Linked DNA regions of Arabidopsis thaliana. The protein of the gene in region 2 interacts with the protein of the main gene of each other region in a pairwise test. Each region holds a gene or a part of one and is shown on either strand. Other genes may lie near its edges.

Evidence for each region.
Region 1: the proteins of MYB54 (region 2) and RGL2 interact in binary tests that used the Arabidopsis thaliana proteins (3 or more experiments, as listed by UniProt).
Region 3: the proteins of MYB54 (region 2) and ESE3 interact in binary tests that used the Arabidopsis thaliana proteins (3 or more experiments, as listed by UniProt).
Region 4: the proteins of MYB54 (region 2) and KNAT1 interact in binary tests that used the Arabidopsis thaliana proteins (3 or more experiments, as listed by UniProt).

What each region holds. Positions count from the first base shown.
Region 1 is NC_003074.8:815,345-823,850, forward strand, and holds RGL2 (RGA-like 2), read right to left. Parts: upstream 6,309-8,506; 5' UTR 5,936-6,308; coding exon 4,292-5,935; 3' UTR 3,993-4,291; downstream 1-3,992. Other genes in the region: AT3G03440 (ARM repeat superfamily protein), read left to right, coding at 365-777, 2,411-3,224; AT3G03460 (mediator of RNA polymerase II transcription subunit-like protein), read right to left, coding at 7,725-8,337.
Region 2 is NC_003070.9:27,596,121-27,603,911, reverse strand, and holds MYB54 (myb domain protein 54), read right to left. Parts: upstream 2,320-7,791; 5' UTR 2,061-2,319; coding exon 1,940-2,060; intron 1,829-1,939; coding exon 1,397-1,828; coding exon of another isoform or gene 1,338-1,396; exon of another isoform or gene 1,053-1,337; coding exon 874-1,052; 3' UTR 595-873; downstream 1-594. Other genes in the region: AT1G73400 (Pentatricopeptide repeat (PPR) superfamily protein), read right to left, coding at 4,100-5,806. UniProt on the Arabidopsis thaliana protein: Transcription factor that regulates secondary cell wall (SCW) biosynthesis, especially in interfascicular and xylary fibers.
Region 3 is NC_003076.8:8,704,444-8,711,509, reverse strand, and holds ESE3 (Integrase-type DNA-binding superfamily protein), read left to right. Parts: upstream 1-3,624; 5' UTR 3,625-3,854; coding exon 3,855-3,937; intron 3,938-4,040; coding exon 4,041-4,503; 3' UTR 4,504-4,765; downstream 4,766-7,066.
Region 4 is NC_003075.7:5,144,735-5,154,416, reverse strand, and holds KNAT1 (homeobox knotted-like protein), read left to right. Parts: upstream 1-3,257; 5' UTR 3,258-3,806; coding exon 3,807-4,274; intron 4,275-4,385; coding exon 4,386-4,511; intron 4,512-4,615; coding exon 4,616-4,754; intron 4,755-5,301; coding exon 5,302-5,558; intron 5,559-6,241; coding exon 6,242-6,448; 3' UTR 6,449-6,718; downstream 6,719-9,682. UniProt on the Arabidopsis thaliana protein: May play a role in meristem function, and may be involved in maintaining cells in an undifferentiated, meristematic state, and its expression disappears at the same time the shoot apex undergoes the transition from vegetative to reproductive development.

The DNA.
Region 1 (8,506 bases), on a different chromosome or scaffold from region 2:
AAATAGCTTTGGGCCATCTTACATCATTTCTTCAAAAAAAAATATCTTTTTACAACTAAAAGTTAAAAACAAGAGAAATTGAAGCCATCCCCTTAAAAAGTCTTTCAACCCAAATTCTCTTGTTGATTTGTATTGTTTTCATACAATTTGCTCTATACAATTATAACCAAAAAGCATATGAAAAAAGACTTCCTAAATAAAATATATTTTTTAGTCACAAATACATAAGTACATATATTGCCACTCGTGTGTAGTATAAATATACACGTACTATGTAACCGTTGGCCAACGCCTTAATCCTACGTCTCTCTCTCTCTCTTTCTCTTTCTCTTTCTCAAGCAGATCTTTTCTTCTTTCTCCTGAAATGGACCTCGCCGGAGAAACAAACAGCCTTATCTCCACCGTCGCTTCTTCTTCTTCCTGTTCTTCCTCCGTGTCGTCAATCGACACAAGCCTCGATTGCGATTCGCCACGTGGCGGAGATGTAGACCACGAATTGCTCCACACGGCGGTTTCGGTTTCTTCGTCGGTGTCGGTTTCTTCGTCTTCTTCTGCTTCAATCCAGAGAGTTCTGAGCTTAATCCGATCGGAGGATTGCGATTCGAGGCTGTTTGCTGCTAAAGAGATCCGTCGGCTGACAAAGACGTCTCATAGGTGCCGCCGACACTTTTCCCAAGCCGTGGAACCTCTCGTTTCTATGCTCCGATTTGATTCGCCTGAATCTCACCACGAGGCTGCTTTACTCGCTCTCCTTAACCTCGCCGTCAAAGACGAAAAGTACGTTGTCTTCTTCCTCCTCTCTGTTTTTCGAATTTGTTCTGTTTTTCGTATACTGATCTGATTAGTGGTGGTTTCTTAGCTTGGGATTAGTTAGATTAATCATATCGGATATAATAGATTACGTGATTTCATTAGAAACTAGATATCAAAATTCGGAGAAGATAGATAGAGAGTTTTAAGAACTTAAACACGTTTATGAAAAACTCATGATGATGATTCCATTACTTCTATCATTCCGGTGAGAAAATGGAGTCATGATTGAATCAATAGGTGTCACAATTCTTTCCTTTTTGGTCGGTCTCGTGTAAGTTGATGATTAGGTAATTGTATCGAAATGGATAACATCGATCGTAGCAATCTCGTTTTCTGCTTTAATCACTTTTCTTTAATAAGATTGGGTGGATCAATCAACTTTGTTGGTAATTGCTTTTTGTTTGCTTGGAGTGTACTCTATGTTTCTTCAAGCTTTTTTTTATTTGTGTGTTCCTCTTTTATATCCTTTTTGCTTACATTTGAAGGATTTCTGGTTACTGGGGATTCAAAATTTTCCTAGGGTTCATCCATTTTTAGGGAACAGGATATTTCGTCATCAGGGATACTCTTCTTTACTTTTAAATTATTCTTTTGGTTATGCGATTTCTGAAGAATTCTGACTTGATTCTTTTACTGTTGTCATGTTTTGTGAGAGTTGATTGGTTTCTAGTTGTAGATGAAATTTTGATTGATCTACACAAAAGATAGGAGTCATGTTAGCTTAGCTTTTCCTTTTTTCTTTTCTTTTTTTCACTAGTCTTGACATTCCTTTAGCAAGCAAAGAATCAAGTAGCAAGATAACACTAAAACAAAGAATCTTTCTTTCTCTACGTTAACCGGCCGCAAATTCCCCCGTCCTTTGATATTCCATCAGAAAGAGAGGACAATAACAAGCCAATCTCAATGCATCAAAGTGGTGCATCTTTAAATTTGTGTCAAACTAAAAACAGAGGATGATTTAAAAGTTAAGTGATAGTTTATAGATGGAAATCACCTGAAGTTAACTAACTCTTTGCTTTGGGGTAGGTATTAATAAGTTTGCCTAACTTAATTTATTAGCTCTTTCCGCATCTGTAGGGTCCCTGCTTTACCAGACTTGAGTATTTTTTGTGATATTTTTTCCTTACTACTGAATCTTTCTTAGTTTATACGCAAACGACTTTGTAGTCAATTTATTTTTTGGTCTAAACTCTGAGATCATCACTTTCTTTTATTAATGGGATCCATCTAGTGGAGAGAAGACATGGAGCTAGCACAGTAAAGATACTAGGACTCACGCCTTTCTTTTGCTTCACTTTTCCTCTCTTATACTATTGTTTTCATTAAATATCTTTTCCTACTTTAATTTTGGTGTCCCATAAACATTAATTAAATTACGTCTGCTTGGTTTTCCTAAGAGGTTAGGTTGGTGGCTTCAACTCTATTTTCCCTTGATTACAATTCATATGACTTTTAAATTGAATGCAGAGTAAAGTCTTAGAGAAAGAAAGATTGATTTTTGCCTATTTGATTAGAAACATATGTGTCATTGTCTTCGATGAATATTCTCCTCTGAGACTATTATTCTGAGTTTTGTTTCTAATTTTTCAAATTTTAGGAATAAAGTGAGTATAATTGAAGCCGGTGCTTTAGAGCCAATCATCAACTTCTTACAATCAAATAGCCCAACACTTCAAGAGTATGCTTCTGCATCTTTGCTCACTCTCTCCGCGTCAGCAAACAACAAACCCATCATTGGAGCTAATGGTGTGGTTCCTTTATTAGTCAAGGTCATTAAACATGGAAGCCCACAAGCTAAAGCTGATGCAGTAATGGCTCTTTCCAACCTCTCTACACTCCCCGATAACCTAAGCATGATCCTAGCAACTAAACCACTCTCACCAATACTGAATCTTCTCAAATCAAGTAAAAAGTCGTCGAAAACATCTGAGAAATGTTGTTCACTAATAGAGGCCTTGATGGTTTCTGGTGAGGAGGCGAGAACAGGGTTAGTTTCTGATGAAGGAGGAGTTTTAGCGGTCGTGGAAGTTCTTGAAAACGGGTCATTACAAGCTCGGGAACATGCCGTTGGCGTGCTTTTAACGCTCTGCCAAAGCGATAGGAGTAAATACAGAGAGCCAATTCTTAGAGAAGGTGTAATACCGGGACTGCTTGAGCTCACGGTTCAGGGGACATCGAAATCTCGGATTAAAGCTCAAAGACTTCTCTGTTTACTAAGGAACTCGGAAAGTCCGAGATCAGAGGTCCAACCCGATACAATAGAAAACATAGTGTCAAGCTTAATCTCTCATATAGACGGAGATGATCAATCCGGTAAGGCAAAGAAGATGCTAGCTGAAATGGTCCAAGTTAGCATGGAAAAAAGCTTGAGACATCTACAAGAACGTGCCTCGACTCTTGTTCGTCCATAACCTGTGATCGAAAACCGCAATCCCTAGGTTTCTTCCAAGTATAAAAACGGTGGTTTGACTCCGAATAAGGGTGATGAAGATTGAAGAATATATATATGCCAGTCCAGTTGCCGGCGCTTTGGTTCTTAGTGACTGGTTTTTTTTTTTTTTACTCAAAAGTGTTCATAATAAAATCATTTTGTAATTTAAAGTCTTTTTGTGTGTACATGCATTACTTATAGAATCGCTTTTACTTTAAAAAAAGGTTTCAATGATATTATTGTGCCATTGGAGTGTTCTATATATAATCCGAACCTATCCGACCAAAATCCCTACGTTAATGTCGTTTTATAATTTCCTTCTTGACTATACGTCTAGATTGAATTCCAGAAAGAATAACTTCATATATGTTTTCAAAACTGAAACCCCCCAAAATTTAGATCCACCAACTCTTAGGTAGAAGACCATTGAATTTGAGGCTTATGATCTCATAAAAGTAGAATAATTTCACCTCGCATATTTTTAAAAGTTGATAACGTACGTCAAAATCAATTTGACATCCATATTACCTCATCAAACCCATAATAAAGAGAGAGAAAAGAACAATCTGTTTCGAAAACAAAAATGTACCAAAATATATTTCGAAGAAAATCTTTTAACAAAGGCTGACATCAGTCCTCGAAACTGAAAGTACATTTTGGATCCGCCTTTTCAGAAACGCTCACGTTCACTTCCCATGTTATCAACGAAACTGTCCAAATTTGAAAAATATATGACACAAAATCATTTAAATAAATTCATATATATTGGATCAAGTAAAAAACATACAGAATCGTTATCCTTCCATTTATTGAAAACTACTTAGCTCGATCTACGATACAAGATTTTTTACTCGTTCTCTTAACTCTCAAAGATACGCACAAGGTCCAAAAAGATAAAGTTGTAAACATTTAGGCAAAAAGGTTAAACACACAAAAACTTCGGGTTAAAAAGTAAAAACATAACTAAAGTTACGGTCTCTTTTCCTAATTTTTTAAAACATTTATTGTTTTTCCCGGTTTCAGGCGAGTCATCTCTACCGCCGCGACTCAGGCGAGTTTCCACGCCGAGGTTGTGATGAGTGGTCGCGTCTGCCACCCTATCATTAAACATCCGTCATTTTCTTCAACTCTGTATCCATCTCCGGTAGCGTAAAGCGATAAAAGCATACTCGCTTGTTTAAACGCGCTAGATCCGAGATGAATCGGGTCAAACCCAGCGGATTTCATCCGAATCCTCCACTGTGCAGCCGTCTCGTGCCGCTCGACCCGATCGGACCCTTCCGCCGCAACAACGTTGAGTATCTGTCTCCCTAAGTACACTTCTGACATAACTCGGTCTTGACTCGGTAAACTATAACTGTCTTCGAGCGAGTCAAACAAGCTCGAGTAGTAATGAAGCGCTTCGTTGAACCTATCGAGGAAGACGATTCCGTTGTGGTTCGCTTCTTGCTCAACCACCGTTACGATACTCGGTTTAATAGCTTTAACCGTATTGAGAAGCTTTTCGATTGAACCGGATCGGGCTAATAACCGGTGGAGCTCAAATACCGAATTAACCACTAAGGTTTCAGATTCGGGTCGGGTTTCGAACATTTCGGGTTCAAGATCCGATAAACTCTCAGCGGCTAAGCCTTTGAATTCGAATTCAACGCCCATGTTCTGAGCGAATTGAGCTAATTTCCAACCTAACTGTTGAAGCGAATCTGAATTCTCCGTCTGCGGTGGTCCGATTCCGGTGAGACGAAACGACGGAGGTCCACCGGGTCGGAGAGCTAAAGCTTGCATTAAAGCAGGCCATTGCATCCCTTGATTAAGCCCTAAATCAATGACGTGAACTCTACGCGCCGTCGTAACAGCTTCTAGAATCGCTTGGTTCGCCGTGAAATGAGCGAACTTCAGGTAAGGGCAAGACTCGTAAAAGTGCATCTCCAAAACCTCTTCGAAAGATGGGTTCACCGCCGCGCAAACGTCCGTCTCCGCCGTGTAATCACGGTAAATACGACGAGCCAAGGCTTGAGCAAAATACGTAGCGACTTTTCCCATAGCTCCAGCTTGAGAACCCGCGAGTGTTCCCACGCGTTTCACCAGCGCGTCAGCTAAGTTGAGATTCTCCTGGTGAATCGCCTCAGCGCACGCCACTAGTGCGTGGACAAGTCTAACTCCGGTCTCCTGAGAGTCAACGAGCACCACGGACCGAGTTGACTCGTCCGACGATTCGCACCACGATCCGAGTCGGATCCTCTTGCTGCTAGCTTCCTCGTCAAAGACTTCCTCTTCCTTTGGAAACGCAGAAAGACCCGGAATTGCTCTGAGATCGTATTCGGATCTATCCACACAACTTCGGGTCGTGTCAAGATCCGAAGAAGCCGGGTTGTTCAGCTCAGAAAGCATGCTCTCGACCCAGTTAGAGAGATCAGATGGGTTATAATGAACAGAGTCGTTTAAGACAGTAGAACCAACATCATCATTAGACAAGACCATCTCAAGTTGTTCAAGCTTCTGTGCTACTTCAGCCATCTCAGAAGATCGAACCTTGTAGCCAAGAACAGCAAGAAGCTCATCATCCATGTTGCTGTTGTTGTTGTCATCATCAGCCTTCTTCTTATCCGCCATTGAAGGACCTTCTCCGGAACGAGAAGCTGGTAGTGGTTTTGGTGGCGGATCCCATGTTTCTCCGTATCCTCTCTTCATCTTTCTTGTTCTTGTGATGGTGAGTTAAGAGACTGATGAAGTTGAAAAAAAAAGAACAAAAGAGAGTTTATAAGAAAGGAGTTTACTTTACTTCATGGGTTGGTAAGGTTTTTATTAATGGGATTTGAAAAAGAAAAAAAAAAGAATTTTGTGGGTCTTTGTTGTGATTTGGTTACAGACAATTTTTGTGGAAAGAAAGGAGATTCTGAGAGGAGCAATATATAAAGCACGAGGGAGTGAGAGAGAGGTCCAATTAGAGAAGTGACTGTGAAGTGTGTTTAAGAGATAAGAATCAGAGCATGCCACTATTGTTTGGCATCTGTTTCTCTCTTTCATTTTTTCCTAACTCCAAGAAATTTACTCCTTTTTTTTTGTAGTAATGGATAATTTTCTTTATAACTGTTTAGTAGAGATTTCTAAATCTGTTTAGTAGTTTTGACCAATGGAACTTTATAACTTTTAGGTTGTAGTGTGCTTTCGTCATATTTGTTGGTAAGATGTTTTTAAGTTGTGAAGTGATTAAAGTGTCTTTTAATGATAGTGTCATAGTCTTATAGACGATCACGACTTAATTGTTCTTAAATGCCATTGAATATTGTCATATTCTCGCTTACGACTTCGTTGTTCTTAAACCCAAACGGCACCAAATGCGTGTTAAGATAATGGCACTTAAGTGTAGTTTTTTTCCTTATGTTGGATAATGTTTATTTTTTCACTAAATAATTGACATTTGATAATCAACTCTTTTCTAATGACAACTGAAAATATTGAATTATACAAATTTGATTTTCTCATATCTTGGTAGAAAGTATATAATCTTTTCCTCAGTCGAAAGTGTATAATCATGAAGCAAGAATCCTAAGTTGTTAGTGTTTGGATAAAAATACAAATTTTCAAAGCAAACAATTTTTTGTTACCAGCAGGTTTAATGTCATAGAGTAATCAGTTTTTAGAGATCATATTAAACTGAGACAACATTAGATAACTAATTATTTTATTGGTCCATAAGAAAAGTATAATCAGACACAAATATGATTCAACTATTACTCTCTTTTTTCTTGACCAAGTTCTAACATTCTGGTGATGTGAATTCTTTTTTACCATAATGATAAACAAATATGTTTTTAGCTATGTATTGTTTCACTGAGATAAAACTACAGTCTACAGCTCAAGTATTTGAGGGGGACACATGAGCAACTTCTCATGTGCCACGTAGAGGAAGACATAGCCTACGAGACGTCCACAACATAAGGTTACTTTCATTAATTTATTGCATATATCTTTCAGCAGTTTTACATACACACATCATCATCATGCATAATAATTAAGGTTTTTTCGAATAGTGGTATCGTTTGGAAACCGTAAAAGATCCTTTTGGAATATAAGAAAATAAATTATAGAAAAATGTTGTGGGGATTGTATATAGGTATGGTCCCAATCGCAGCTACAAGAAAATGATATTCGTTGTTGTGTTAGAAGTCACATGGTGCATGCTTTTCCATTTTTAGTCATTTGATGTAACTTGTGTCTAAATTGGCCTGTTTTGCTTTTGTGGTTTACATTATTTGTTACTTTTTATTTAGGATCCCTCTTTTAAAATTCATAAGATGAGAGAATCGAAACTGAAGCGCGTCATGCTCACTCGCCAAAACTAGTCCACCTCAAAGAACACTTCATCATCGTCAATTTATCTTTCACCTTATTCACTACCTTTCAAGATTTAACTACATCACCAAACTACGAGTATTTGGATAACCAAACCAAAAGAAAATCTGAGTCATGGTTTCATTTACCGAATATTCAAATCAAAATCCCCACTTCTTCGCCACTTCTCATGTTCACCATTTTCATTTTCTTCATCATTCAAGAAATCTTCTAATGGTTCCTTCTCTTCCTTCTGGCTATTATTGTTGTTGTTATTGTTCCCCCATCCATTCATCAGCAACATCATCTCATTAGGGTTCATGTTACGCCCCTGTTCTCCATGATTCCCAATCGCATTAGCTCTCAACGGGTTACGAGCCATCATCTCGGCATGAGACTGTTGAGACTCTTCTGCCCTTGCTTGTCCTGCTGCTTGAGCCAAAGCCGCCATTCTTAACCTCGCATCCTGAGCTTTCATCTCCCTATCCAGCTGGATACATGCGTTTCTCTCGTCATTGAGCAAAACTTGTTCCATCATCAGCCTTTCCTCAACTCTGTCTCCATCGCTTCTCTTTTGAATTATCCTGTCGAAAGCTTGGACTTGTCCCTCAAATGTCGCCGTGAATTCTGCAACTTTGGCTGCAATGTTGTTGTCCCATTGCTGACAGCGGGGTAGCGTCTGGCTTGTTGTGTTTGAATCAAAGATACTATCATCTTCTTCTGCTTCGTAATCTGCTACAACATGATAAGGTAACAATCTGCAAAAAAAAATAGTGAAATCACAGAGAAAATTGTAAATGTCACAAAGAAATAGTGAAATTCCACATTTTATAAACATTTCATATATGGATCAACAACATATACAATGTCACATGGAATTCAAAATAGAAAACTTTTTTCTGCAATCCCGAGAAAAAAGTTGAAGAA
Region 2 (7,791 bases):
TAGGACCATACCAAAGACAATGAGAAATTCAACAGAAATTAAAAGGTATGCACGGGTTCGAACTATGAGGGAGCAAGTGAAGGAAAAGAGGGAACTACAGCAAGGTATGCACGAGGAAGAAGAAGAAGAAGAAGAAGAAGAAGAAGAAGAAGAAGAAGAAGAAGAGTGAAGGAAAAGAGAGAAAAAGGCCATTGGGCCCAGAGGTGAACAAGGCCCAATTAAGGGTGGGTCTTGGTTATTAACAAATTTCTAATTAGATTAAGTACAAGAACTACATAATGGTTGTGTTGTTGTAAGAAAACGATTAAGGAAAGTAAGAAGTAAAAAGAGTTTTCCAACACCTTTTGCTTCTTCATCAAACATTGGATTTTTTTCATGTTATAATCTCAACGATATAAGATTTCAACTGTACATATATACTTTCAAATTTTGATAATATTGTGGCCTCTCGAGGTCGAGTTCATGATCGGGTTATGCATAAACAATTGAACGGTGATTTGTTTGAACGTTGAATAAATATGATACAAATTTAATAAGAAACAAACTAGCAATTAATCGTTATATATATATAATTAAATTGTTGGTAACAGAATTAAACATTTAAACATGTTATTCATCTCATTCAAGACAAATTAAACAAATACATTCAAACGGATAACTTTGATAGTTAACAACTCGATGGAAATTTTACAGACATTGAGAATGTGTGATACATCAACATTATGTATTTTTCTTACAATTTTCGCAGGTAATAGCTCACTAGTTAGTGATTATACACATCAAGCATACATGCTAACGACCTAGATAATCTCGTACGTATACGGACTAAATAGTTAATCTAGAAATTTAGGAGTTACTGCAAAAAAACTAATCCTAGGAGGCAGAGTTTCCAACGGATAAAAAGTCGAAGAATGGAACATGACTTTCATGTTTGGTGTCCGAGTCACTGCGTTTGCTTTGACCTGAATCTTGATCTATAATCTCGCTCTTGTTTGAATCTGTGTTTACTTGTAGAAAATTGTAGAACTCCATAGGCTTTTTACTCTGATTTGCTGCGATCCAAACGATAAAAGAAGGACGAAATTATAAGCTATGTGGATTGCAACTATGTTAAATATATAGAGATGACTTCATGTAATGACGGAAACAATATATGATGATGAGTACAAGAAAAAACATGCAACTAATTTTGTCACATAATTTTGAAGTTCATTAGAAAAATGATTATGCAAATGAAAAAGTCGGCTAAACTCTTTGAAAAGTAAAAAAATTCGGCTAAACTTCATTTCAAAATTTTGGAACATATATACCTTTTTCATCAATAATCCGTGCAAGACTCATATACATGCAAACACATCTATAGAAAATGGATCCTTCTCCATCATTTTGAGTTTACCTTTGTGATTTAAAGCGATCTTTCCGGTGAAAAACTCCTTTAGGAAGTGAAGATGATTGATATGAGAGAATTTGTAAGGGAAATTTATAAAGTCTGCTGGAAATATTTTCTTCCGATCATCGGAACTATAATTATGATTATAACCACCAGAACTCATCATGATTTGTTCACTCGCCATTAAAGAAGAAGACGAAGTCGTCGAGGGAAGAAGACGAGGCTTAGAGGTTTGGCGTGTGCGACGAGCCATGATGACGTGCCAATGGTTCTTGACGGCGTTATCAGTTCTTCCAGGGAAAAGCCTTGCGATGATGGACCATCTGTTCCCATGGATCCGATGAGCCGCTAAAAGTCTTTCTTCTTCTTCTTCCGTGAAAGGGTTTCGGTTGATCCTTGGATCCAATTGATTAAACCATCTCAATCTACAACTCTTACCTGCATATATACACCAATACAATTAATTCATATGTATATATATATCAAAGTATCAAAATTAACCCTAGCTAGTTTTGTATATATGGACAAACCCTAGAAGATATCAATTACCAGAGCGACCAGGAAGCTTGAGAGCAATGGCGTTCCAATTGTGAGGACCGTATTGTTCGACAAGATCCTTGAGCTTCTCGTCTTCAGCTGGTCTCCAATGGCCTCGGCTGCACATGATCATTTTTCTTCTTCACGCCGATCTATTTAATTACGTAATTAACTAAGTATACCGATCCAAACCAATACAAGAACAAAGAAAAAGAAAAACACACAGATTCTATATCAATAACGCACGCAAAAAATTTGTTGTGTTCATGTATTTTATGTACATATATAAGAAATTAAAACCCTAAGTTTTTTTTTTCTTGGGAAAAGGTTGGGGAAGATGGGTATGTGGGAACAAGAAGAAAGCTGAAGAGCACCTGCACGTATATATATACATAGTCTATATTATTGCGAGTATATATATAATATACATTTTATGTCTTCTTCTTTTTTTTCGTCTAATATACATTTTATGTCTTTACCAAAAGAAAATATATATATATATATATATATATACATTTTATATGATGAAAATTAAAATAAAATAAAACAAAATCCGTTAGAGAGTCGGGAGGGTTTGGACGGACCTCTCTACCGGCGACTGATGCCAACGTCTTCCCTAACCAACAAAACACCCCCTTCTACGTAATCTACCTTTTTCTTTCCTTTATTTTACAACTAGGATTTTATTTAGTTATAATAATTATAGAATATATAATATCGTAGAAAATAAGAGCATAGACTAGAGATTGCTTGGTGTGGGCAGGATTTCGTTAGCCTCTCAACGTCTCTTCGTATAGTATTAATTTAAGGTTTGTTGTTTCTAAGTTCTAACCTACACCCGCTACTTCAAGCCACCAATACTCATCTACGTTTCTGTAATCTTGGCAAGCTACGTATTCACATATAATAAATATCGATATCCTACACTGACAAAAATTTATTTCATGTATCAAATATCGTCCATAATAATTAAAGATAAATATTTTCAGACCTAATCAACGTTTTTTCTAAGCCTTAATTAGGAATATATCGTCCAAAGTGGAGACAATACAACTAACTTTTTCTTTGCAATTTTACAATGGGTATTTTCTTATAAACTGTAAATAAAATAGAAGGTGTATACAATTGAATCAAGTGATGAAATATATTAGCAAAAATTTTATTCTCATGTGGTCAATCATTTTAGTCGTAAACAAATAAAAAAGGTGGTCAAATATTTGGTCTCCAAGCACGTCTCTCTTGTCCAAAACGGAACTTTATAGGTTTCGGACATTCAGGACTAAAAACAGAATCAGTTACATTGAATGTTCCGTGGGACTAATTAGAACATTTCTTCAAAAAAAAAAAATCTGTAAGCAAAAACCAAAATAATTGCTGGTAAAGTTTAGTAGGAAAATAAAATAAAACAGAGAGTTAGTTGGGAAAGAAAGCCAATAATCAACTTCATTTGTTCTATCGGTAGTTAGGAGAGAAGCCTTCTTCAGTTTCGACTTTCGAACCTATCATAACTAAACTTAACCTATTTTCGTCGCAAAATGACCTATTTCAACTAAACCGGATCCTGATTACACTAAACCGGTCAAATATTATATACCAGTGGGCTTTTTATTTTACAACTGTATGGGTACTTCATCACCAAAGGCTGACAGACCAACTGTGTCATGTCTTTAGACTTCTTCAGCAAGAGTTCCTGAGACTTGAACCTGTTACCAGAACTGAACGATGAACCGACACTGTTCTAGCATCATAATGTTTCAAGAATCTCACATCAAACTCGAGAATCAGAGAGCAAGAGCAGAAGATAAACCATAATAGTCATGAACCATAAGGAAAACAAGCCTCTCACATTGCTAAGGATCATACAAAGTTCGGCTCTATCTCTATGTATGCAATGGTCAATACAATGACTTTAAACGAACACGTTAAACATATTGTGAGCTGTGAGAGCCTTTTCAAAGAAACCAACATAACCATTAGACAATAGACCTGGATAGGTATCTTTGCTTTCGAAACCATGCTTATTGGTCCAGAATTAGAGAGACTGTGATGGATGAAATTTCACCAGGGATCATAGTCACGAAGAGCTCCTCTCTAGGCAACAGAATCATCGCACCACTGAAAATGGTTCTTTGTTTTAGTATGATGATATGGTCCAACAGTTTTCAGTTCACATTACTTCCCTCTGAGTTTTGTACTCTTTCTCTTCTCACTGAGTGCAAAACGCCTAGCCATACTATGGTTGTAAAACTTTTTCATATGTTCAGAAACCTTATGAATTGCCTTGAGGTTACCAACTTCCGATAGACGCATCAAGAAAGAGTCAAACACTCGATATGGCAGTTTGAGTCCTTTGTTCACAACCTCTTCCAGTAGAAAACACGCCTCTTTAGCTCTGTGACAGTCGAAAAGCCCATTGATCATAGCACAGTATGTTTCAACGTCCTGAACACAGTCTCTTTTATCCATTTCAGTCCATGTATTGAATGCTCCATCAGGATCATCCATTTCGAAAAACATAGATATCAGCATGTTGTATGTTTGGACGCTAGGAGCACAACGCGACTCTACCATTCTTCCATAAAGTTTAAGTGCTTCATCGGTCTTTCTATTCTCACACAATACCCTAAGAAAGCAATTGTATGTGACTATATCAGGCGGGTAACCTTTATTACTCATCTCATCCAGGAACTTGTACGCTTCATCTACCTTTTCAGCCATACACATACCTTCAATTACATCCTTATATGTCGAGACATCAGGAAGGCAACCCGTGCTTATCATACGCCCAATTAGCTCAAAGCATTCTTCTGCCTTATCATTCTTTGCCAACGCCACAATCATTAAAGCAAAAGTCTTTGCGGTTGGAGCAGAAACAGCAGAGCCTTTGGTTATCATAAAGTCAAACAAATCAGCTGCCTCATCCACCATTCCAGCTTGACAGAAAGTATCAATAGCAGCACAATAAGTGAAATTTTCCGGCTTATGTCCAGCTTCAATCATCTCTTCAAGCAGCTTCATTGCCTTTTTAGGGTCTCTCACCCTACACCACCCAAAGAACAAGACATTAAACGTATTCGCATCAGGTTTAACTCTATGCCTCATCCTTCTAAGCAAAGCTTCACCCTCCTTAACCAAACCACACTTACACAGAGCATCAAGAAGCATATTGAAAGCATTAATCTCAGGCTGCGTCTTCACTCTAATCCGTTTCCTCTTGGCAAATTTCTGAACATGAGTCAAGTACCTCTCACAATACTTCCTGAGAATCTCCAATAGAACATCAACAAGAACAACGGTTTTGTTGTTTCTCTTCATGTAATCAAGCATATCAATCACAATCCTAAACTGCTTATTCTTATACTTAGTACTTGACAATATATCAATCATCTCATTATAAGCAATAGGCTCATGTGAGTAATGTTCTTGATGTCCAGCCCAAGTGAAGAACCGAAAAGCCGTCTTTTCTTCGTATTGAAGCCTTTGTAAGATCTTACACACCACAGGAGTTGTTAAATCTACACTAGATTCATCAAGGGCTTTTTCCATATCATCATACGCATTCAAATTCGCCATTATAGCTTCGTGTAAGATTCCAACCGCATGATTAGAACCCTTTGTTCTAATATCATTTTCATTGCAATAAACCAATGATTGATCTTCGGAAACTTTCTCTATACGGGTAATTTCTAGTTCTGGGTTTAACAAAGTCGTGGAACAGAATCGATGCACAGAGAAAGATGAGATTTTTTTGTTGATTTGAATAGAATCTAGATGAGAACTCAATATATGAGAGAAAAGTGCGGACCTTTGAGGTGGTGTTGTGGATAGATGCAAGGAGAATCTAGAACGAACAAAGTAAGAGACGAGTCTTCGCATCATTCAGTAATCAATCACTCGGAAATAAATTCGTTGAGAGGTTTAAAGCGAAGGAGACTGAGAGGAACTAGAGGAAGGGGACGACATAGAGAAGAGAGAGAGAGAGAGAGAGAAATTGGAAGATTTTAAATGGGCTTTTCTTTTGTTGAGGCCTTTTCATTTTTAATGGGCTTTCTTCATTTAACAACGAAAACTATTTTGTTTGGTTTGAATTACACACTACTTCAAGTCTTAAACAAAAGGGAATCAAATTTCCAATTTCTTTTACATCAAGGTCTAGACTCTAGATATCAAATATCAAATTCTATAAAAAAAAAAAAAAGAGAAAACCAAAAAAATATCAATTTAAAACCAAACCAAGCCATAAATCAAAATTTCTACTCCTAGTTTATCATAGAGCCACAAATAAATAATATACATATACATCTCTTTACATAAGAGCATCTGCATCGGGAAGATTCTCTTCCTAGTTTCTCAAAAAAAAAAAAAAATATTATTTTAATTATATAATATATTTTATTTAAATTGTAATAGTTAAACTAATATTTGATTGACATGTGGCGATTCTGTCAGAAAAACGATTCTCTTAGTTTCTCAAGTGAGGTACTCTTCTCCCTCTCTATCCTACTTTTTCACTTTTTTGTTCTTATTTTATTATTAAGTTTCTCATTCAGAAATACTGATGGAGATGGCCTAAAACAACTAATATATATGTAGTTTTTTATATCGAATGAGAATTATCCTGTTACATTATACTAAACAAATATTTACAGATTCTATACACAAAACATTATTAGATACTCTAGATTTTGCCGATTGTAAAAATTTAATAGTCTAATCAATGGTATGTATATAACGATGTAATTAATTTGCAAGTAGCAGAGAAGAAGCAATACTACTTTTGGCATATAGCAACAAGTTATGGTTTTTCTTTTTTCGTTTCAAATTATTGGTCAAGTGACAAGTGGCCGTTAGCGTAGTTATGACTTTTGAGACTCTCGTTGTGAATCATTGCATTTTCTATGGTTTTGGTTTTAATGCATTTCTCATTATTTTTTCACAATTTTTTTCAGAAACCAAATTAAAAGGAGGGATACAATTGGGGGATTGGTTTTTAAGTAGATTGTATGCACATTCACTCTTCAATCTCCGAGCGAATTAAGGAGAATCATAATAATAAAATCAGAACATAGAAAAAGAATCCAAACCAATAAATTAGAAAACTTAAAACTTAACTTAGAGAATTCAAAATGTAAAGAAATATCACAATTTCTTTGTTCTTGTTCCCAAATTAAAGTACCGTTCCTACAATTTTTATTTTTATTTTTTTATCACATGATATCTTAATATATAGTTGGATATACATAGGATCGATATTGGACAACCAAATAAAAACAATGACCATGATTAAGTTTGAAATTTACTTACGACTGCAATTAACATGGCAGATATAATGGATTTCTTCCTAACTATTAAAAGGAGAGAATAAAAGCAAACCAAAACTAACGAAAGAGACTTCACAAAAAAAAAAAAAACTAACGAAAGAGTTGCATCATACTAATTCATGCTAGATACAGTTTTATTTTGATTAGTACCTTTTCTAAGCAAAATTAGAAAACCCTAAACCAAAAATTTGCATTCAACGTGTCGATTTACTTGTAACGATCGGATTACTTTACTGGGTCTTTTAGTTGGTTACATGAAAATAAAACATAATTTAAGTCAGTTTCTATAAAAGGAAACCAAGTCGTAGACGAAACGAAGACACAAAAGTAGCTTTAAGCCTTTTAAGTTTTAACCTGTGGGTAACATCGAACCAATAGTAAGCAACGGAATGATAGTAGACACGTGTCGTCACAAACCGCCCTTATAAATTTTGCTACAGACCGTTGGGGCGGTGAGACAGTCGTGATCTACTAACCGAAATCGATTCATGAATGTAGACACGTGTCTTCCCTTAACTGGATTCTACAAATATCTTCTTTCGT
Region 3 (7,066 bases), on a different chromosome or scaffold from region 2:
AGTTTTCGAAATTAAAATAACCAAATTTTGTCAACATAGATTAGATTCTCTTGTACCAAGAACATAAAAATGCATAGATAACACCAAAAGATACTGCATGTGTGTATGCAAGCTGAGGAACAATGTCTCTGATGAAACCTCCAAAGTCCATGTTGAATTAACTCCAATCCATTTTAATATATAATATAATCATATATATATATATATATGACTAAATGTTTTTATATGATTAAAACTACATTTGTTCTATAGAATATTAGTCTTGTTGTGACCTTTTGTTGAGGATTCAATGGACCCTCCATATTTGCATGTGACTGAGTGTGGAATGGGACGAGAGAATGGCGGTCTTTGATATGGACGTCACCTTATTATTTCACATTTATCTACAAATTTAATCACATGTATAGTTAATTATATTGTTTGGGTCACAATATTTTTTGGAATTAAAATAAGTAGTAATTATCTTTCATTTTACCAAAACAAATTACATATTTTTTTTTAATTTTTGTAACTGAAATTATATATATCAACAATCTCGATATGAAACTATTAGCTAATGTTTATGCCCTCCAATCTTTGTATATATATCTATCTTAGGGGATCTTATTCAGTCATAATATTTAACCGAATATGAGTTCAATCGTAATCTATCGTTGTTCATTCGGTATGGTTTCGCCTAATTTTAGAGTTAGAGCCAGCGCAAATAGTGTGACTAGAGAAAGTCATTTTCAATCATCTATGACATTTAAAGGACTCGTTTGACTTCACAAACAAGTGTTGGAGGAAGTTGTTGTTTGGTTAATGGTTTTAATATCGATGATCATAAAACATAAAGAAGTGACCTTGAATAGTTACTCTTCAAACTAACTGATCTGAAATGTGTATGCTAACATATAAGTAACTAGAATGCAACGCACAAAACTATATGTTCGCGGTTAAAAAAAACAAAACTATATGTTAGAACCGAGAAAGTATATATTATATGAGTGTGATTATTTAAAATAATTTTTAAAATAGATTGATTTTGGTATATATAGTTAATTTACAGCTGAATGAAAGAAAAGGACATGAATCACAATCAAAACCATTTCATCACCCATGTTTATCTATGTCGTTTTGGGTCCCATGTCACGCGTTTACGACCTAGGCCCTACTCATATTTATTCATAATTCTTGTCTGATTTTCCCATAACTTTGTATGTAGTCCCAAAACACTAATTGTTAAATGTTTTCCTTTTTTATGGTTAAAGATAATTGTATATATTCGAGTTTCTCATTATCTCCAAGTCGACAAAAAAAAAAAAACAATTAAGATAAGTTATATAATATGAGTCACCAAACATATGATGAGCCTCTATGCTATAAAGACAAACAATCTAGACATAATTAACGAATGATCTAGTTGTTAAATTCATATTATAAGAGTTGCAAAACCGTAGCACATTTTGTGTGTGTAAATCTGACAAATTTGCTTCAATTACAATTTATAAGGATGATACCTTGTTTAATCTATTTTTTAATGAACATTGTGTATTTATTTTGTTGTTGTTCATTGCCATGCATTTGGGAGATAGATATTGAATACTTTTTCTCTTTCAGAGGTATGGTACTAGTTGAAACTTGGAAGATTAGTCATCACTACTCACACGTGCCAAAATAGTAGCAAAGAGACAAAATCCTCAATGCAACTTAAAATAAAAACAGTCTTTGTTATAGCTAGCTAGCTTCTCACCCTCACATGCTTTGCTATATTGTTTGATCGACCAATACAATTAAACCACGTATGAAACAAAGAATAGTTACCTAAGTAAAAGCGAATATGTTAGACATATCAAAATTATTTTTGTTTAATTAAAATTACAGTTGTAGTAATGTTGTTATTTCAAAGGTACATATATATTTCCATTATGTAACTTGCTGATATTAGCATTCAGTACCATCCTTCTTTTACTACACCACCGAGAGAGATAAGTTACTTTCTTTTTTTTCGTTTTCTTATGGACATGGATGCAAATATACAGACAAAAAAAAGCATATGTTGAATAATTATTAGGGTTAAGAATGATTATTAGTAGGGTGAAAATGATCAATTATTTGATAAAAAGTTAATGACCTTCTCTAGTTGTTTTTCTTGTCGTCATAATTGCGGTCTAGGATTCTTTCATCAATTTGATACTGGATTGAACTAATAATATTTGGCACTTGTTATTTTGATGTATCCATTCTACCTACACACTCTTTTGCCCAACATATTCTTCTATTACCTCTTATTCCAATTATAATTGACTCTAAAAGGATATAGTCTCAATTGGAGATTATTTTTTTTTTAAATATGCGTGCGACTGAATATGATCGACATAACCTTTACTTTTATTTGATGAAACTTTGTCGAACAAAAGATAAATTGGCAAACAAAAACATCCATATATAAACCCAAATAAGAAGTGGTTACTATGTGACATTCCCTATACAATTAACATATACTACTATCTAAAAATTGTAGATAAGTTTATGCAATATTATACTAATTCCCTCTCCAAGTTTCAGTAATGGGCATAATCACATATTTATTAATTATTAAACCTATGTTTTTAATTGAAAAATAATGTATTAGAGTTTTTTTTTTAATAGGTCGCAGACTCGTAGGTAAACTGTACACTCAGAAATCATGGGTATGATGACAATACATTAAGGTTTGTTTCAATAATAACAATACAAAATAATATTAAAGAAGGGAAAAGAGAAGATGATAATCGAAGATGGTTTTGGGTGTTTGATTGAGTCATTATCAAAGGCTCACATGGGTGAAGAATGGTGATGAAAGAGTCTCGCTAGTTATCAAACTATATATTTTCCAATTATTTATCGTTATTATTAATTAGTTGGGGAAAAATTTGGCAGTATCTATGATATAGAGACATGTTGTGATGATCAAACCCATGTGAAAATAGGTACAGTGGGTTTGAAGTTTCACCGCAGCCAAATCTCTTTGGATCCAACTTGTTCACAATGGGAAAATTAAAATAATTGATAAATATATATGCTATATACGTAGGGTTGTTATTATATTTAGAGCTATTTATTAGTTTTATCTTAAAAATACCCCATAACTTAGGATATTATAACTATAATTGTCTAAGTATAATATGTGTAACTTGGGACAAAAGGAAAAGAAAAAGGTTTGGATTAAATTATCTTAGGTTTGATTTCTAAACCGTTTTAATTAATTTATATTTGTTGATAAAAAATTAGCTTTTGTTACAGAAATAAATTCATATGAAACTATTGAACATTTGTAATTTTGTATTCTAACAAAAACTGTGATAAGTTTGTTAATTCATAATTTAAATTCTATTTTAACTTTTAGATAAATTACGATAATACTTTCCAAAAAATATCTCTAAATAAAAAAAACACTTTTCCGACAGTTTAGCATGTAGTTTCGAAGCTTTCAATTTTCACTATAATATGTGACAGAATTAGATAATCCATTTGCCCATGTCGCAGCAACTTCGAATACAACAAATGAAGTAAATTTAAGAATACTTTAAGTTAAATAAATTAATATAACTCTCTCTCTCACATCAAACAAAATCCATGAGATTTTCTGAGTCGTATTGGTAATGGTGTGGGTCCAATTTAGGACCAAATTGATTGCCAGTTTATTGCCAAAGAAAATTTTAACACAAAAACATTTCTCTCTCTCATGAAGCTAAAGCCAACACTACTTATATAGCTACCCTTCACTCTTCCAAAAACGCTCCTTCACTCTCATCATTCTTTCTTCTTTCAAAACATTTCCACAAACACACCAAACTCACCTGAAACCCTATTTCCATTTACCATTCACACTAATGGCACGACCACAACAACGCTTTCGAGGCGTTAGACAGAGGCATTGGGGCTCTTGGGTCTCCGAAATTCGTCACCCTCTCTTGTAAAAACTCTCCCTCATCATCCTCTCAAATTACGAAATTACCCTCGGTCGCTTTTTATTTGAGTAATGCTAAACTTTTTTGTTTTTTTTTTGTTTTTTTTAGGAAAACAAGAATCTGGCTAGGGACGTTTGAGACAGCGGAGGATGCAGCAAGGGCCTACGACGAGGCGGCTAGGCTAATGTGTGGCCCGAGAGCTCGTACTAATTTCCCATACAACCCTAATGCCATTCCTACTTCCTCTTCCAAGCTTCTATCAGCAACTCTTACCGCTAAACTCCACAAATGCTACATGGCTTCTCTTCAAATGACCAAGCAAACGCAAACACAAACGCAAACGCAGACCGCAAGATCACAATCCGCGGACAGTGACGGTGTGACGGCTAACGAAAGTCATTTGAACAGAGGAGTAACGGAGACGACAGAGATCAAGTGGGAAGATGGAAATGCGAATATGCAACAGAATTTTAGGCCATTGGAGGAAGATCATATCGAGCAAATGATTGAGGAGCTGCTTCACTACGGTTCCATTGAGCTTTGCTCTGTTTTACCAACTCAGACGCTGTGAGAAATGGCCTTGTCGTTTTAGCGTATTCTTTTCATTTTTATTTTTGTTTCCACAAAAACGGCGTCGTAAGTGATGAGAGTAGTAGTGAGAGAAGGCTAATTTCAAGACATTTTGATCTGAATTGGCCTCTTTTGAAACACTGATTCTAGTTTCTATAAGAGCAATCGATCATATGCTATGTTATGTATAGTATTATAAAAAAATGTTATTTTCTGATTTTTCTCCATGTAAACCAATTGAACACTTGAAACCAAAAACTAAAAATTACACATGTGTTCGTGTGTGAAAAAGTGGGAATTTAATGTAGTGAAAAGATACAACAATGAGAAGAAAGATATCTAAAGTAGTGAAGAGAGATGAGAGTTTGAATATTTTGAGTTAGCTTTTGGTTTTGTTCCATGCATGTTCTAATTTTTCAACGGTGGGCCTTCATTTTTTTATTTTTATTTTTGGTAATTTGGGATTGCTGCTAAGTAGAAAAAGAGTGTCCCTAGCTGTGGCTTGACGACCATAAAATCCAACTTTTTAATTAGAGGGATTTGTGTTTTCTAGCACCTTATATTAAAATAGAAAAAATAATTTAGCTACATAAAATAGGTGTTTGACTGCAATTACTCTGTTTCCTTAGAACACTCTGTTCTTCGAACAGTCCAAACCTATTATTTATTTGTTTTGTTTGTAATGCGAATAAAAGGAAACTAGTGTTTTCCGACCACTACTTTAACTTTTGTAACAAAATATGATTTACATTTACTACCTTAAGGTTGAATACGAAAATAAAAATATTCTCTAGCAAAGAATGGAAAACATAACATGAGCAGGCTTTAATATATCCTTGACGATCGGTTGATTCTTCTTGCATACATATACGCGATAATATAATATCAGTTGTTAGCAACAAGCCAAAATAGCTAAATAATGGCAATTCAATATGGTTAAAGCTCGTTGCGATATAACCAGTACACATGCAATGCATCTAAATTGCAGCAGACAAATGATTTGACGTTAGGAATTATTTGGATTTAAAGATTTTCTTGCCACCTTAATTATTTGCATGCAATAGATGATTTATTTTTCGACACAATAAATTTGATAATCCTTATAGGTTTTTTTCTTTCTTAAACAACAAATCTGATCATTCTCAAATTAACTTGCTATATTACTCAAATTACAAGCACAAAATTGCATGACCACTTATATTTGATAAGGTTTCTTTTCAAATCGTGAAAAACTATTTTCTATTAAATCTACAGATGATTTCTTTGCATGGTACAGATAATTTGTTTGTAGACATAGATTTCATTATTCTCAAGTTTAAGATGACAGAATCTCAATTATTTCTCAAATATTGTTTTGTTATCATACATAAATTCTACAATTTAATTCCAAAAGTAAATTTTTGAGGTGAAAGAAATACAGTTTTTAAAGATGTTCCAAACTATTTAACTCAAAGTTCCGTAGGAATGCATGCGATCACAGTTGATTTGGTAACAAGTGGAAATTGACTACGTGACTATGTATATTCTCCGAGATCCATTAACAACAAATAAAGTAAAAGAAGAAAATAACCAGTTATATGAGACAAAATGTGTCAAAACAATATTATTTGATACACATTAGAATCTCAACGTGATATTATTTTTTTGGATCGAGGTCTCTATCGAATAAACCTTATAATGATTATTCGACGTACCTGTTTGGAAATTGATTTTGTTTCCCCACAAACTTTCTAAAAAAGTAAGAAAATAAAGAAGAGGGAATTATAAAAGTATAGTTTTATCTCATTATTCTGTTTTTTTAAAGCATTTTGAAGCAGCAAAGGAGAGAATTTAAAATAATGGGCATGCTTGTGAGTTCTTCATCATTACTTCTTTGAACTTCTGTGACCCTTTTTTCCTTTAAGGATGGTTTTATATTGCCCCAATAAAAATTTCACTGCACTCACCAAATAAAGAATAAATGGGTAAAAAGTAGCGATTCAGATTCACATGAAAATGTATGTTTTCCATTCTTTTTATAGAATATTTATTTTCGTATTCAACTCGTGTTAGTAAACTGTAAATTTATTTTGTTCACCCGATCGAGTTTTACCAAAAGTAGTGCACACCTATATGTATGGTTTTTGTTCTTGAGCTTATTTCTAAAACATCTTTAGTTAATGTGAAGTTGTGCATTTGGTTTACTTAATATTTTATAGAGATTATGAGTTTGAACATGTTTAAGTTGATTATCTTCATTTTTTCAAAAAGAGTTGATTATCGATATTCCTGCTAAAGAACAGAAGAGCCGGTTGGGAACTTCGATAGTTGGATCCAATATTCAGTGTAATTTCAATAATCGGAGTATACAATTTTTTTAATTTGAATTCTTTTAGATAAAGAAATTTAAGGTTAAAATGATATATAGAATTTTTTCTAAGAAATAAGTGAATGAAAGCATTTTTAGTTAGTATGTAAAGAAAAACTATTAATTATGAGCTTCTGATTTAAGGTTCACGACTTCACTTCACGTATGGCTTCCCAAAATAAATAGACATAAAAATATTAGAGAAAGATCTCTCGAA
Region 4 (9,682 bases), on a different chromosome or scaffold from region 2:
CTTTAAAATATCAGTTTGTAAGATCTAGGAAAAATTGATAATGACAATAAATATGCATGTTTTTATATAAAATAGCAAAGATAAAATTTATGTTGGTAATGTTTAACATTTGTCAAAAGAACTGTAAATACTTTCAAAATAACGATTTTTTTATTGGAAAAATTGAACCTTTATACCTCAGAAAAAACAAAAACAATATAATTCCACATATGAAATATTGCTCCCTATATAACTGTGGGCAACAATAATATATGAATTTAATTTTTTAAATTAATACATAATTTTTACTGTAGATGATTTATGTTAATTAAAGGAGATGGTTGGTTGGTGGTCTTTTCAAAAATGGAATAATCACAGTTTCTAACTGTTAATAAGAATGCAATAAAGTTCTAAAAGATACTAATTCAACAATAACATCAACTAGATATGTTTTATCTAGGTTGTCAATTTCTTTTGTTCAGTTTAATAATCATTTTATATAAACAAAATCACAATATCCTTATGAATGTAAAATCTTTAAAATAGTCTTAGGTTTTCAACTTTCTACCATCACTGTAATTTAAATTCAAGTTTTCATAATTCAAAAAAATAAGTTATGAAAACAATGATTATTTTCCTAAAATTATATTTAGCGTGAAAATCGCCAAAATGTCAATACATAAAAATTAAAAAAAAACTGAAATTCAATTTCTACATATATTTACTTATAAGTAGATCTATCGATCTGTTTAGGTACTTAATAATAAAAAATATTTTGGTTCACCGCTAAAAATAAACTAAAATGTTCACCTCCTTTTATTCATGCTAATAAGAATTTACCATCTAATCAAAAACTTAAACTTATTTAACTATTAAAATTCATATGTCACCAAAACAAAATTATGTATCAGTTTGGATTGATAGAATTAGAATTTAGATTTTATAATTAAATAAAATTATATATCAGTTTAGGTTTATTAAAGTGTGGTTAGAAATTAAATTTTATAATAAAATAAATTTATTTATTTATTAGATAACAGGTTTTGATTGATAAAATAAAATAGGGTGAACAAAATAGTTAATTGTGACAATTTAGATAAAAACCCGAAACATAAAACCTACACGAACACAGATGATGATTATAGATAGACACATGCACGCACGTGGGCTGAAGCAGGAGGAACAGTAATAGGTGTAGTCAGTCATTTTTTTCACTTCATTGCACTGCCAAATCTTTTGATCACTGTTAATCGTTGAATAAAAACATCCAACGCATAAGTCAATCCCCTACTCTCACTTCCACTGCCTCTCTTTCTTTCTTTCTTTTTTTTTCGTTTTCCACTCATTAACCATTACTTACTGACTCGTAGTTCTATTTTGGCCATTTATTACCGTCAGTTCTTGTAACCTGGCCAATTTGCAAATATGTACTTTATTTCTAGATTTGATTAGCTTATCATCTCCTTTTATTTTCTTAACATTTGACCATTGATTGAAAATGATTGATAAGTAGCTATGTTGTATTTAGAGATTAGTTTAATTAGTGTATCTCTTGAGTGTTTTATTGCAGGTTTAGATAACCTCATACAAGTCGTTACATAGTTATGAGTAAATGAGTTTATTAATAAATTTAGAGAACAATCTATGCCTACCGGTGAATTTTTATATAATAAATTGAATGTTTTATTTTATTGTTATAATTGACTTTCTAATCTAAAAGATAGAATTCTATGAAATTGTACACACTTTTGAAAACAATTTTTTTTTTAATAGAAAATTATAAGAAATTAGATCCATATGGTTATGGGTATTATAATATTTTTATTTATATATATATATATATATATATATATATATATTCTTCTTGCATGACCATATTAATGAGAATATTGGGATCAGAGACTTATTTATAGTGTGTTTTTAGTCTATTGCACTTGTGTTTTGGAATATTATGATATTTAATTCAAAGATGTACCCTTAATGAATGATCTTTTATGATGTCAATGTTTCAGCATCTTATACTGAAACAGAAAATAAGAGGAGGTCTTAAAGGAAAAGAAAACATTTCGAATGCAAAAATTTAACCTTTAACATTTTCGATTTTTTTTAATGAAATTCTAATAATATTGGTTCTAAGCAGCTGATTTTATTTTTTTAATAGTAAGAAATAATATATGTATACATATATATTTAAATATTTACTATCAAAATTTCCGGCATAGCAAGTCATAATTTGTAAGAAATCTTACATTTTGTTGTTTACAAACTCTCACAAGTCACAATGTAAGTTTCGGTCTAGTGCAGTGATGAGGTAAACAAAAAAAAAAATCTATCGATGAGCCAACTTTTTGATCTAGAGCCCTAGGATTTGACGATTTATATATAAATAAAACCCTAGGATTTTCGTTTCTTTTTGTATAAAAATGAATTCATAGGCACTCTATACGTCTCATGAATCATGAAATATAAATCGAGATTAAATAGAAAATTGAATGTTGACCGTGGAACAGAACAAGTGTTGAAAGAAGTGTGTTTGCAGCATGGTCTTATCATAGAGCCAATAGTTGGAAATTAGCAGAATATCGTATAATATCCACTATCCTGTAAAGCATTTTTATAATTCCTTTTTTTTTTCTCGGTTTCTAATGTAATCTTCTATCCGATAACAAATATTCGGATAGTGTGATCTCTCCACTAATATACATACGAAATTACGAAAACTAAAATTATAATTTCATCGATTTGATTAAACTCCAAAAACATCCAAGTCTTGCATCAAATATGTACATTTCTATCATATTGTTTATAATTCTTTTTTTGTTATCCGTAAGTTTTAGGCAGAAACCCGTACAGTGAAACCGAGGACCAGAACAAGATAAACGTAGTCCCCTCTCCTAAGTATAGAATTATAATGTGACACATGATCACAATTTGTTGAACGAACTCTATGTTCAACCACTAGACTACAAATTCTTGGGTTTATATCGTATTAGAAGTATATATAAATCATACATATTTTTTTTAAAACTTTTTTCTTGACTATTCTTTTAAGAAAAAAAAACATTTCATTACTAGAAAATAGTACAAAATATATCATTCAACCTAGCAAGAAACCATAGCCTGAAGTAGCCGCGAAGACCTAGTTGCTTAAACACTGAGTGGTTCATCTTAATTCGAATATTATAAACCACATTTTAATTAAGTAAATTACTTAGTCTTGTTCTAATGTATAAAATAGCCTATGAGAGGAAAACAGAAGAGAGAAGCCTTTGCCTTATCTCTTGTCCCTTCTCTCTTACCTTTATTTTAATTTTCAAATATTTCTTTTTGCTCCCAAAGCAAACGACGTCTTGTCAATCCACTCAAGCCACCCAACTTCTTCATTATTGTTAATCTCTCTCTCTCTCTCTTTCTCTCTTCTTCTCTCTTTCTCTTTTTTTTTTTTTTATTTTCTTCTCTTCCATGTCACTTCCTTGACGAATTCTATATACCTAGTTCGTTTTTTCTTCCTCAAATATATCTTTTTCAATTTATTTGGTTTTTCTTTGGGTGCAACTTCACCTCACAAAATTTTCTCTCTTTTTTTATATTAATTTGAGTTAGGCCTTTTTGATTTCATAGATGAGTCGTCTAGTCGTCTGGATTTGATGTGGTTATAGTCTTACAGAGACCTTTGATTGAAATAAGAACAAAAGCAAGAATACATACATCCTCTTCATCTTACACCCATCCTTTTTTATTTTTCTAGGGTTTTATTTTTTTTTAATTTATTTTTTTTCTTTGATTTTTATATTCTCTCTCTCTCTCAAATCTTTACTCATCTGGGTATGGAAGAATACCAGCATGACAACAGCACCACTCCTCAAAGAGTAAGTTTCTTGTACTCTCCAATCTCTTCTTCCAACAAAAACGATAACACAAGTGATACCAACAACAACAACAACAATAATAATAGTAGCAATTATGGTCCTGGTTACAATAATACTAACAACAACAATCATCACCACCAACACATGTTGTTTCCACATATGAGCTCTCTTCTCCCTCAAACAACCGAGAATTGCTTCCGATCTGATCATGATCAACCCAACAACAACAACAACCCATCTGTTAAATCTGAAGCTAGCTCCTCAAGAATCAATCATTACTCCATGTTAATGAGAGCCATCCACAATACTCAAGAAGCTAACAACAACAACAATGACAACGTAAGCGATGTTGAAGCCATGAAGGCTAAAATCATTGCTCATCCTCACTACTCTACCCTCCTACAAGCTTACTTGGACTGCCAAAAGGTTTGGTTTTATTCTTATTGTTATGTTATAATATATACTCTTTTTTTAAAGATATAATATATAGTTATGTGTGACATATATATGTATGTTCATGGGTCATGGTTTATATAGATTGGAGCTCCACCTGATGTGGTTGATAGAATTACGGCGGCACGGCAAGACTTTGAGGCTCGACAACAGCGGTCAACACCGTCTGTCTCTGCCTCCTCTAGAGACCCGGAGTTAGATCAATTCATGGTTCATTACTAACCAAAGTTGAATTTTAATTAAATGGGTCGGTTCTTTGTGTGTATATGTGTTAGAAGTCTTGATTTTCCTTTTTTATTTTTTGGTATGAATAGGAAGCATACTGTGACATGTTGGTTAAATATCGTGAGGAGCTAACAAGGCCCATTCAGGAAGCAATGGAGTTTATACGTCGTATTGAATCTCAGCTTAGCATGTTGTGTCAGAGTCCCATTCACATCCTCAACAATCCTGGTACATGTCATCAATCTCATATACATACATATATGCACATGTAAGAAATGGCTGGAGAAAACAAAGTGTAGTGGCAAGGTAGGGCTAATGATGGATTGCATAAATTGGCATGTTTCTTTGGTTCATGGTAAATTGTTGTAACATTGAGATATTAAAAAAAAAAAAAATCATAGTCTACATACATTTTCAAATGTTAATTAAGATTATAAGATAATTAAGATAATTGAGATGCATTATTGTTGGAAAGTATGTAAGATACAAATAGGTGTGCATATTTGTTCTTGTTTTCCCCATTGTGGAATCCATCCAAAGATGGGTGGGGCTTATTTTTGTTTTTTTTCTTTTCACTCGGCCCAAAAGTACTATCACAAGAACTTTTGGTGCTGCTCGTGAAGATTTATTTGGGACATTATCTTCTTCGATTTCGTTATGCTAAAACATCAAAATCTCTACTCGGATTAATTAGTCTAATCATAAAGGTAGATGACTAGAATGTTGTTAAATGACTAAACCATTTAACTTCATGAAATATATTATGTTGAAGCAGATGGGAAGAGTGACAATATGGGATCATCAGACGAAGAACAAGAGAATAACAGCGGAGGGGAAACAGAATTACCGGAAATAGACCCGAGGGCCGAAGATCGGGAACTCAAGAACCATTTGCTGAAGAAGTATAGTGGATACTTAAGCAGTTTGAAGCAAGAACTATCCAAGAAGAAAAAGAAAGGTAAACTTCCTAAAGAAGCACGGCAGAAGCTTCTCACGTGGTGGGAGTTGCATTACAAGTGGCCATATCCTTCTGTACGTATAAATTTTCTCTCATCTCTCTTTGCCCTCATATTTTTTAAAATATATACTACAAATTAAGTGTTTTAAAAACCTATCTTTAAGCTAGCAATTCCCTCTGAAGCCGCTATGTTAGGCCAAGTAGGTACTTGCATGACCGATTTTGTGTTTAAATCCTTGTACGGTTTCCAACAACATGGTTTTAAATCCGAATGCTCACAACACTAGAATTAGTCACTAGGATACATATCTTAGTCATGGTGTTCTAACCCTTAACATACTATTTTCTAACACGTATATCAATCACTTTTTTTTAAAAAATGTAAGTTTGTGATGAAATTTTTATCCATATATTTTGAAACAATTTAATTTTTTTTGTAGTTTTAATTAGTTTGAAATGAAATAACTAATCTAACCGACTGTAATGATAGTGAAAAAAACATGTTTAATATTGGTAAATATAAATGACATGTTGTTAAAAAGATAATAAGACAACATATAGTTAGTCGTTACTTGATGTCAAAGAAAAATGAAGTTAGTCATTTTACTTAGAGAATCGTTCAAAACAACAAACTTTAGGTCATTTTCCATTTTTATGTCTAGAATCATTTAAAAATAATTTTCGATTATCTCTAGCATTGCTTTTTATACATTGATTACTACATAAATGAAGATGGTTGGTTTGAGTTGTGTGGCAGGAGTCAGAGAAGGTAGCGTTGGCGGAATCAACGGGGTTAGATCAGAAACAAATCAACAATTGGTTCATAAACCAAAGAAAGCGTCACTGGAAACCATCTGAAGACATGCAGTTCATGGTGATGGATGGTCTGCAGCACCCGCACCACGCAGCTCTGTACATGGATGGTCATTACATGGGTGATGGACCTTATCGTCTCGGTCCATAAGACATCCAAAAGCTTTAGCCACATAATAACAACCTCTCGTTGCTTTCTTGTTACAACTCATGTTTTGAATTCCCCTACATCAGTTTGCTACTTATAGCTTTCTTTGTTTTCACGCCTTTTGTAATGTCTTATGTCGTTCGGGGAGTTTGAGACTTCCTAGTCAGAAATATCCCTTCATTTTATTTTCTCTTTTTTTCGGTGTATTTTGTTTTTTTGTTTTCTCACTAATGTTTTTATTTAATAATGTGTGAAAGGAAAATGCTATTCTGAAAAGGTGTTGCTCCATTTTTTTATTTTATATGGCATGAAATGTATGGTTTTGAAAGACAAAACCCAAATTGATCTAATGGATTCTTACATGCCTTTCCACAAGCTAAAACAAAATCCACAAAATGTAAAACATCGATAGTTGATAAGTCTCAAAACCATCTTTGCTTCGAACACGGTTTCAGGCATATATTATGACTTATGCGAAAGCATTACATCATAATACATAGGTCATGGAATCACTACCAGAAAAAAAAAAACTATTGTCGAAAGATTAAGTTAAAGATTCTCCCTTTGCACCCACTCGTCATCTGATGCGGACATCCAAATTAAACCAAACCGGGACCATACCAAATCAGCCGGTACATTTATCAAACCGATTGATGAAGAGCATTTTGGAGGACTCTTGCCCAATTGGAGTCTCAATCAAGCACAAGGCCTAGGGTTAATTATTCACCAGCAAATTAATTCTAAGAAGACTAATGATGATTCAAGAAGGGTCAAAGACCAGCGAGCCGAGTCACCATATTGTGGGGATATGACCGTTGCACTCTTTTTCCCTTATCTAGGGTTTGTCCCAATGGGTTTACCTAGAAAGGTTTTTAACGAGGCAACATCAAGTCATCAAGGAATCATTTACCAAGCAAATGATTCGAAGATATCAAAAGTACATATATTTGATGTACTTGCTAACAGACCGGCTGAACTACTTGCTGAAACTACCTTCTGAAGTACCGCACGAAATGAAGCCAAACAAGGAAATCTTCCTTATTCTACACTTGGACGCACCTCAAAGCTACATATGGAAACCAGGAGAACATCTAGACCACACAAGACTTATACCACACGAACTTTGGTACATCTTACCACACAAGAACCCGCTGAGCTACTACTTGCCATATATGGAGCCGAAGGAGATCGATTACCAACAACTCTTTCCTTCTTTGTTTGTGCGCTTATGTGAGAATCTTGAGACCCTCCAGAACCTTCCAAGACGTCACAACTTCCTCCCCAAGTTGACAAGATACAAGGCACATCTCACTTGCCTTATTTGGACATATTCTACAATTAATGTCCAATATTTTCATTTATGTTTTGTTTCTTTCATTAATGCCTTAGAACATTGTATTCAGCTCTATATAAGCTGATTTCTCATTCATTGTAAAGCAACCCTTGATCATTTTAAAGTAACAGAAACGTTTTCTTGTCAAAGTTGAGTCTTTGTCATTTGTTCTTTAGTTCTTTGTGAGTGAGTCATGAAGTACGTCAGGAATCTGCGGATTAAGTTTGTTGAGTGATTCAACATCCTTCATTCGTTCATTGATCGAGTGAGTCGATTACCCAACTGATTGAGCGAGTCAATCACCCAACTACCCATCAATTCCCCTTGAATCGATCCCACACGAGAGAAGCGATCGCCAGCGTGTTAGATCACCACCTTCATCATCCCACCTTCCGCGTGGCAAGTTTGGAACTCTTGCTCATCAAGTGATCAAAGGATGGATTAGCTCCAATTCTTGCATCATCATCCTTTTTTTTTTACTAATGTTTTTAAAGAGTTTTTTGCAAAACTAGTCATTTTTGAAAACTTAATTAAAAATATAGCATCAATCACGAATTGGTCAAGATTTTATGTTCTTTTATTATGTTCCAAGATGTATTTCATCTCTACTTCACTCTGATTACATTTAATCTAATTAATGAAAGTTGAGTTGAAATTTTTTTTTAAGAATATAACATCATATATATATATATATATATAAATTAAGAAAATTGCATGTGAAAGGTGAGAAAAAACAATTTTAGTGTAGAGTTGTTGGTGAGATGATTTAGTGACACTTAGTTTAGTTTTCAACTATTTGTATTTTGGGAAATTTGAGTGTATAACAAAAAAAAAACTTATATTAACTAACTAGCTATTCTAACTATAAGACTATAATATTCTATGTATAATCTATAATAATGCCATATTTGCCCCATGTTGTAGGATACATAGTTCTTTTATTTATTTTTTAATTTATTTTAAATATTTATCTTTCTTCTTCTTCTATTCTATCTTAACAAAACAAAAATTATAAGTATCCACCATCACGAAGTCATAATAATTATTTATCACTGTCACTGTCACAACCGTATCACCGCAACCACCTCGTCACCGTCACTATTAGTGCCACCACTATCACCGTTACCGTCAATATCACCACTACGGTTTACCTTGGTTGCTTGGATGCCAATGTTGTATCCCATAAAGTATAATTTTTTTGGATCGTATCGATTTAACTCCATCATTTATCATTATCACTGCCATAACCATATCATCGCAACCACCACCGTCAATGTCACCGTTAGTGCCACCACTACCATTAGCATCTACCACCAAGTCACCATGATCATTTATCACTGTTATTGCCACAATTGTATCGTCGCAACCACCACCGTCTACATCACCGTTAGTATCACCACTACCATTGTCGTCATCACCACCACCGCTACCGTCACCACTCACCACCACCACCACCGCTACTGTCAACGTCACCACTACGGTGTACCTCGGTTGCTTGGGTTGCCAATATTGTATTTTATAGGTTATAGTTTTTTTGGATCATATCGGTTTAACTCAATTCTTTGTCTACTGTTCGTTTTATACTATTTAGTTTCATTCTATATTATTGTATTTGTGTATTTTAGACAAATATTATTCATTATTTTAATAATTTGTATCAGATTTCAAAAATTTAAATCATGTTATACACACAAAAAAATCTATGTTTTACTAAAAATTGTTAAATGATTTAATCAGTTATTTTTATGAAACTAATTCAACATTCAAATCACTTGGGGAAAATATCAATTTTGCCATCTCATCATTATTTTCTCTCTTCATGTCATCATTATTATCTCTCTTCTTCCACTCTTATATATTAAAGAAACTAGGGTTCACCCCTAGGGGTAAACCCCTTTATTCAC